2 linked regions of the Nothobranchius furzeri genome follow. The protein of the gene in region 1 interacts with the protein of each later gene in a pairwise test. Links are inferred from orthologs where the notes say so. Each region holds a gene or a part of one and is shown in the gene's direction. Other genes may lie near its edges. The genes, in order: plekhb2 and cdab.

Region 1 (3,924 bases):
ACTGACAGAAAGTGATTTCAAATAAGTCAAAGATAAACAATATGCTCTTTATCAATAAAGTATTACTGTTGTAAATAAAAAAATAAGTTGATATTTTAGTAATAAGTGAAACACGGGAGGTTTATTACCGTGTTTATCAATGACAGTTTATTTCATCTTTACCCATCTACTTATCTCGCTGCGACAGCGAGTTAGCTGGAAAGCTAAAGTTTGCTAATGTAACAACTACTTGTCTCTACTTTTGAGCAAACTATTCGATAAAAATCAACGTAAAGCACAAAAACATTTTTGACAAGTTATTATCGATCTCGGTGCATTATCAGATACTTACTGTCCAAATAATGCTCCAAGTAAATTGCCGTCGCCATTTCTGGCTATGTATTTAGCTGCTGCGTTACTCTGCTGCTTCTGTGGTCACGGCTTCACGGGGCGCTGTTGCGTTTGTTTTACTATCCTGAGTTTGCCGCCGGGCGATGGCTAAAATGTTGGCTCCCGCCTTTCTATTTCCCCAGACCAAAATTAAACATTTTTGTTCCCAGGCAAACAGCCTAATTTCGTATTTGGTCACTTATATCTTTCTACACTCTTAACAATTCTAAAACTCAGTTCTTGTGCCAATATTTGTCCCCCACCTCTCACCATTTTCTAAATTCGATTTTATTTAAAGGTGAATTATTTGATGTTTAAAAAAACACTTTCACCGTCAATAAACAAATAAAACCACACATATTTGCATTGCCAAGAGAAGGGCAAATATTTCACGTGTGTGTGCACAGTGAGTGTGAGCTGTAACCAAGCGCACCCTTGCTGCTTTTTTGCTAGCACTTTCCACAGCTGTCAGCTGAGCGGTTACGTCATTCAAAACAACACACCTCCCTCTCCAGAGACGGGCCACTTGTGAAGATGCTCGGTGGGGCGGAGTTAACATTGACTGAAACATAACGGCCCTCCGGTCTAAACGCTGTAGTCACTTTGCTAACGGTCAGGCCTTTTCATCTCGAAGTAAGGCATCGACCTTTTGCATATCACTTCCGCGTTTTAATTATCACGAAAAAGACCGTTTGGGACAAACAGTGGAATAAAAGTAAGTATGTAAACCACAAAATAAGCTTGTTGTCTGACAGAATTGTACTGTTTTCTCACTTTGTGAACATTTTAAACTCATAAGTAGCCATGCTAGTTCACTAGCTATCACCTAACATCTGGAAACTAGCTAGCAAAAAATGCTATTTGTTTATTTCATTTAAACAATGTGTACTTATTTCATCCCATTTCATCACCTGCCATTGAGACCCATACAGTTTATGTAAATTAGAATTAAATGATTTGTATTAAATGCAGTACTATAAATAAACATAATGGCACAACATCTGAACTTTAAACACTGAACAGGAACTCTATTAAAGTCACACGGTAACTTCTTGTGCTAGCAGATCAAACTCATTTGAGCTAAGTCTGCTAATAGTGATCACTTTCTAAAAGACTTTAATTTGCCCTCCACGTGAGGCTGTTTTCTTCTGAAGGAGACTGGTCAGTTATGTTAGCAGTCATGAGGTTTGTTTTAGATGCACCACACCCAGTCATCATCTCCAGCTCTAACTGACTCACGTTGTTTAGGGGTTGCAGATGGCTATGGTAAAGAGTGGCTGGCTTCATAGACAAAGTGAGTAATTGTGTTTCTGTGTATTCAACTGTCCCTCAGTGGAAAAAAAAGGTCTACATCAAGAAATCTTGTCAAACAAGTGTTATATTTAACTTTTAGGTACCATATTACGCCGGTGGAAAAGAAACTGGTTTGATTTGTGGGCTGATGGCCGGCTCGTCTTCTACAATGATCAACAACGGCGCGACATGGAGGATGACATTCACATGAGAGTCCACTGCATCAACATCCGCAACTCTGGAGCATGCCAGGGTTTGTTTTCTTTCCACACATTTTTGCGTAAAAATCACACTTGCAGAATGTTATACACTTTTTTTGTTTAAAAAAAATCCTTCTCAACTTTTGTCCTTCCTCCCAGAACTGAACCCACCAGAGGGAAAGATACGTGATGCATTGTTCCAGATAGTGTGCAGAGATGGACGTGTCATCAGCCTGTGTGCAGACAGTGCAGATGATGCCCTGTAAGCACATTTATTTATTTATTTATTTTAACTTCTTTGCTGATAAAAGTGGATGCACAGAAATGAAATATGTTTACATTCTGAGAAAAACATAATTTATATTCTCAAACATTTTTTGTTGCAGTGCATGGACCATGGCACTGCAGGATGCCAGGATTAATACGGTGAGGTTTTGCTGCATCTGTGGGGTTCTGTATTTGTTTTGTTTGGTTAAATTCCTGAGCTAAAACTTTAAAAAGCATTTGAGTTACTACAAGTTTAAAACATTAAGCTTTAAGCTGAAGACGTGTTTTGTAATGTCTCCATCAGGGAGCCGATCATTCTCTGCTTTCATTTGTTCAGAAGCAATTGAACTCTTTTTTTTTTGTTATTGGTCGCTTGTAGAAGTCTCATTTAATTTGTTGATCATGTAGGTGGTTGCTACTCCTCAGATTGGTTTTGCAGAAGTGATTGCATCTGCTCCTCCCCCCTACTCCGAATATACTCACCCACAGGTACAACTGTTTGTAAATATGATGGGAAAATACAACAAATATCTATTATGTCATAATTCATCATTTTGAAAAGAGAATTATTTAAAAAAAAAACAGGAAACCTATTAGTTGAAAGACGGAGTTTGCTGCCACCTGCTGGTGTAGTTAATGGAGTACCCAAATGCATTTCTAACAAGTATTCGTGAATGTGTAACGATATATTTCTTTCTTTTTCCCAGGTTTATGCTCCAGGCCCATATGGAGACTACAGTGCTCCACCTCCTCGTCCTACACAGATGGTTTACTCTGCAGATGGCCAAGCCTATGCTGTTGCATATCCGTACCAGTACCAAGGTGAGTAACGGCACATGTTGTAAGCATGTAAATGGTAAAAATGGCCTGTATTTGATATAGCGCCTTCTAGAGTCCTGGAACCCCCCAAGGCGCTTTACAACACAATCAGTCATTCACCCATTCACACACACATTCACACGCTGGTGGGGATGAGCTACAATGTAGCCACAGCTGCCCTGGGACGCACTGACAGAGGCGAGGCTGCCGAGCACTGGCGCCACCGGTCCCTCCGACCACCACCAGCAGGCAACGTGGGTTAAGTGTCTTGCCCAAGGACACAACGACAGCGACAGACTGAGCGGGGCTCGAACCTGCAACCTTCTGATTGCGGGGCGAGCTCTTAACTCCTGTGCCACCGTCGCCCCATGTGACTGAAACAGGGGTCAGCAACTTTTACAAATGGCTATTTTTCCCCTCAGTTCACCAGAATAAAACTTGTTTAGAGTCGTATTTGTTGCAGGACCTTTTGAAAAACAAGAACATTTATCATTTTTGATTAATATCTAGGATTAGGGCCACTGAAATCTTTTTTTCTTCCAATTCTGGGAATAATGTGATAATTCGAAGAGAAGTCAGGATTCAGAGGTTAAAATCAGTATTCTCACTTTTTTCCTGAGATAAAAGTCTAAAACCTTTTTTTCCTTTTACTTAAATATCTACTTTATTAATCATCATCAGAGACTGGTGATGTTACCTCTTCCTCTGACCCATCCCCGTGGGGAGTGGTGAGCTGCAGTTGTGGCTGTGCTCAGGAACTATCTGGTGGTTTAACCCCCCAATCCAACCGCTTAAAGCTGCATGTCAAGCAGGGAGGCATTTGGTCCCATTTTTAAAGACTTTGGTTTTAACCCCGATCTCCCCGTCCCAGGACGGACGCTCTACCACTAAGCCACTGAAAAGGTATTAGTTGTCATATTTGAAAAGTCATCATTTTGTTTCTGTTATTGAGTTTTAAAATGGGGGAAAGAAAGTT
Region 2 (3,924 bases), on another chromosome or scaffold:
CATCGAAATGTTGTTCAAAAAGAATAAAATGACGTCCAGATGTTGAAAAACATTGGAGGCTTTGTAACATATAACTATAAAAATCTGGTCTAAATTGCAGTCTTTGGAGGACGCCATAGACACCATGTTTCCTTCTGGCTGGCTCGGGGTCCTGCGCCTGTCGATGACATCACACTAGATGATTGGCTGGACGTACGACTTACAGGAGTTTTGTTAGTTTATTTAAACTAGCAACAGTCATGGCGATATGGTATAAAACTACCCTGAAATGTGTGTCTGTACTGCCCCCCAGTGCCAGAAAACTACACACTGCCACTTTAAGCTCTCGCTGAAAAGTTAAAATATTAATAATCATTGAACAAAATTGTTTGCCACTGTTTTCATTGATTGATTGATTGACACTTTAGTGTTTGAACTTATCTTTACATTCAGTAATGGCCAAGTGCATTGACGGACTAGCCATTGGGAGCATAGGGACATGTCCCAGTCCCCACCTGGACAAGTGTATCTCTTGCCCTCTAAATTTTGACACATTTGTTACAAATTTGATGAAAATAAAACCTTTTAGGTTCTTTAGTGGAAGATATCACGATCATAATTCAGTATATTAAATAAGTTAATTATGACTTTGTTATAAACAAAAAAACATTTATTTTATTTTAATAAGACAAAAGTTGTGCTTTTAAGAATGTTTTGTCATACCTGCTGAGATTTTTGACTGAAGGCTTCAGTCTAGCTCAAAACTAATTTCTGCTGTTGTGTCATTTATCAGCTGGTCTGGGGACGCGGTTTGGTAGCGCTCCCCCAGAAGACCTGGCCCAAGTGGCTGGGGAGAGGGAAGTCCGGGCCTCTCTGCTTAGGCCGTTGCCCCCATGACCCGACTCTGGATAAGCGGAAGAAAATGGATGGATGGATGAAACTTGTTGAACATGTTTTGCATCGACCATAAAATTATTATAACTTAAGAAAAAAACAAATAATTTGGTAACACTCCAATATCCTGAGATCCGGACCAATGCTTGAACAATGTTTCCAGCTATAAGTAACTGGCTTTAAGAGGTTTTCAATGTTTTCCATAGATTCAAGAAGTGTTGTTTTTCTACGGCAAACTGCCTTAAAAACTCAACAACAAAAGCATTGACGCCACTGCAGAACCCTTTGCTTTGATATGTACGTATCGTGTGGGTTCGCTCTTCATCTGGGCTACAATAAAGTTAATGCAGGAATAAATAAAATAAAGACAAGATAAAAAGTATCTGGTTTAGAGGTGAGTAGCTGTACCCCCCAGCACCAATGCAACACTGTTTACCGCTGTCAAGTACATCACACCTTTCTTTTAAAATCCATATAAAAATCTGTCCTCTTCCTTTGGACAGGGTTAGGGTAATTATGGTAAGTTTACTCCCTGGTGAATGATTGGCTGACTGTGTCCTCACCCCTTTCACCCCTCGGTCCCATTCACATTTAAAGCTGAGCCACAATGAGCTCATTCAGTCAAAATCAGGTCTACAAAACGCCAAGAGCCACTATGGATGGAGTCAACTCCCGACGGGACATCACTGTTGTCAGTCGCTCCAGGGACCTGAGCCAAGAAATGGTTAAAAAACTGATTCATCAGTCGCAGGAGGTAAAGACGCAATCTTACTGCCCTTACAGCAAATTCCGGGTGGGAGCTGCTGTCATGACCCTCGACAACTGTGTGTTTACAGGTGAGCTATGCAAAATGTTGGTAATTTCCTCTTTAAGCCCATGCTTTTCTATTATATTTAGTATAAAAAAATTTAAATAATGTGTCTGAGTCAAAGCCTTCTAGGAGACATAACAGAATTCAATATTAAAACAACACAATAGTGCATCCGTTTGCTCTGATCTTCATACTGCTGGATCATGTTAATGATTACCCATCAGGTCAAATGTCTAAACTTGAGAAAAGCTCTGGAGTAAAAGGCCAACGTTCTCCACACCCAGTAAGTACAGTCGGCATGTGCACAAACAGAAGTCGGAGACACGGTGCTCCTGTCAGCATCACTGGACAAGTCACCTGTCCTGTCACGTGGGGGAGGTACGGGGCGATGACTGGAAAACTGCTGCAAGTCCAAAGACCCCTCTGACTATTTGAACAGGCCAGCAGAAGTAAACACTGTTCCAGAAGGTAAATGCCCCTCATAAGTTAAGTCACCCCATGTCTTTGTGTGTCTCTCTAGGGTGCAATGTAGAGAACGCGTGCTACACTTTGGGACTGTGTGCTGAAAGGAACGCCATCTCGAAGGCCGTGTCAGAAGGATACAGGAGTTTCAAGGCCATTGCAATCGCCAGGTAAATGTACATTGTATTGCTTCATGTTGCATTTATTTTCACCTCAAGAATAACGTAACAGTTTACAGTAAGGGTCCCTCTATTAACGTTACTGCATTATGAAGCACTAATAAACAAATAATCCCTTTATTAAAGGGATACTATGCACATTTTTCATATTTTTAAATAATTGCCTTGAGCCAGTTCGTGCTTAAATAACTATTTACAGGGTTAATGGAATGTCACTCAGACCCCACCGCCCCCTCTGGCCAGAATATCACACTTGCAACTTCAGAGTTGCTGGTCTGTCCCTGCTGGGGGGAGGGGGGTTGAGTGGAGTGGAGCAGACATGGTGGAGCGGTCTGCTTCCAGCACGTTCCCTGCATGTTACTGATGGTGAACACAGCTGATTTGTTTGATTTAGTGATAAACCGCTCCTCTAGAAGATAATGAAGACGGAGGAGACGCTACAGCAGTAAGATTAAGGTGTTTAAAAGATGAATGCACGAGGAGATAAGTTTCATTTTCGGTTTAACTACAGTAAATTAAAAACGGACACTAGGGGGTGCTAAAAGCATGCACAACTACCTAGTGTCACTACCGTTGTAAAGGTTAGGACAAATGGCTGAGTGGGCAGAGGGTCTGCTAAGCAATGCATTACATTAATATGGTTAAGCAGTTTTTAATACCCTTATTTATTAATGCTTGATATTGCACAAAGTACTGTAAAAAATTACCAAATTATTCATAAAAGCCAAACAATTGAGTTTCATTTTTCTTGTAAATTCCTCCAAACCCCATTTGCTTTCTGCTACGTTTTCCAACTTTCTGTTTTTTGCAGTGACTTATGCGACCAGTTCATCTCTCCATGTGGGGGCTGCAGACAGTTCATGAGAGAGGTCTGAGCTCCTTGTTCCATTTGCAGAGTTTAAATGAGTCACTAAAGCAGCACGCATACTAATCAGCACTAGCAGGAGTAAAGCACTAGCCAAAGCTGGTTCCTTTTTGTGAAATGTGAAGTTTTTGTTTTTTTGACCTACAGTTTGGGTCCAATTGGGACGTTTACCTGTCCAAGCCTGATGGATCGTATCAAAAGCGGACGGTGGACGAGCTGCTGCCCCTCTCGTTTGGCCCTGAGGATCTATCCATGAACAAAGTGTTTAGCTGAACATGCTGTAGTGATACAGCATGCTTCATATGTGTTTAGCAGCAGTTATATTTATGGTGAGAAGTTTGTTCTCATGCCGTCTCTAAATTATATTTAAATCAACTGCGAGAGGGAAAAATATTATTGATGCAATGATTTCATGTCTACTTCCTCAGTAGCATTAAATGCACAACTTATGTTGGTAAAAATATTTATTGGTTTAAAGAAGCATGACAGAAACGAATGGTCACACATTTTAATAAATAGTTTTTAAATGGAGTCACGCTTCATTCCTTATTGAGAAATGAACACAGTTTCAGTTCAAAGGACAAACAAAAGAAGAACATATTTTGTATCAGTGTACTGCAAATGTTTCTATTTGAAGAGACAAAAAGAAGAGCCATGTAAGCTGCCAGTGCAAAGTGACAAAATTAATTCATGAGTTATTTTAAGTCTACCTATCATGCGTAAACATTCAGAGG

What was found.
Region 2: the proteins of plekhb2 (region 1) and cdab interact in binary tests that used the Homo sapiens proteins (3 or more experiments, as listed by UniProt). The two-hybrid records come from large-scale screens. The link is inferred for Nothobranchius furzeri from reciprocal best matches to the Homo sapiens genes PLEKHB2 and CDA.

The regions. Positions count from the first base shown.
Region 1 is NC_091748.1:41,161,417-41,165,340, reverse strand, and holds the start of plekhb2 (pleckstrin homology domain-containing family B member 2), read left to right. Parts: upstream 1-944; 5' UTR 945-1,084; intron 1,085-1,617; 5' UTR 1,618-1,626; coding exon 1,627-1,663; intron 1,664-1,762; coding exon 1,763-1,915; intron 1,916-2,021; coding exon 2,022-2,124; intron 2,125-2,248; coding exon 2,249-2,288; intron 2,289-2,537; coding exon 2,538-2,618; intron 2,619-2,836; coding exon 2,837-2,951; intron 2,952-3,924. Other genes in the region: ing5a (inhibitor of growth protein 5a), read right to left, coding at 332-368. UniProt on the Homo sapiens protein: Involved in retrograde transport of recycling endosomes.
Region 2 is NC_091743.1:52,751,012-52,754,935, reverse strand, and holds cdab (cytidine deaminase b), read left to right. Parts: upstream 1-1,276; 5' UTR 1,277-1,480; coding exon 1,481-1,709; intron 1,710-2,204; coding exon 2,205-2,316; intron 2,317-3,136; coding exon 3,137-3,194; intron 3,195-3,337; coding exon 3,338-3,463; 3' UTR 3,464-3,721; downstream 3,722-3,924. UniProt on the Homo sapiens protein: This enzyme scavenges exogenous and endogenous cytidine and 2'-deoxycytidine for UMP synthesis.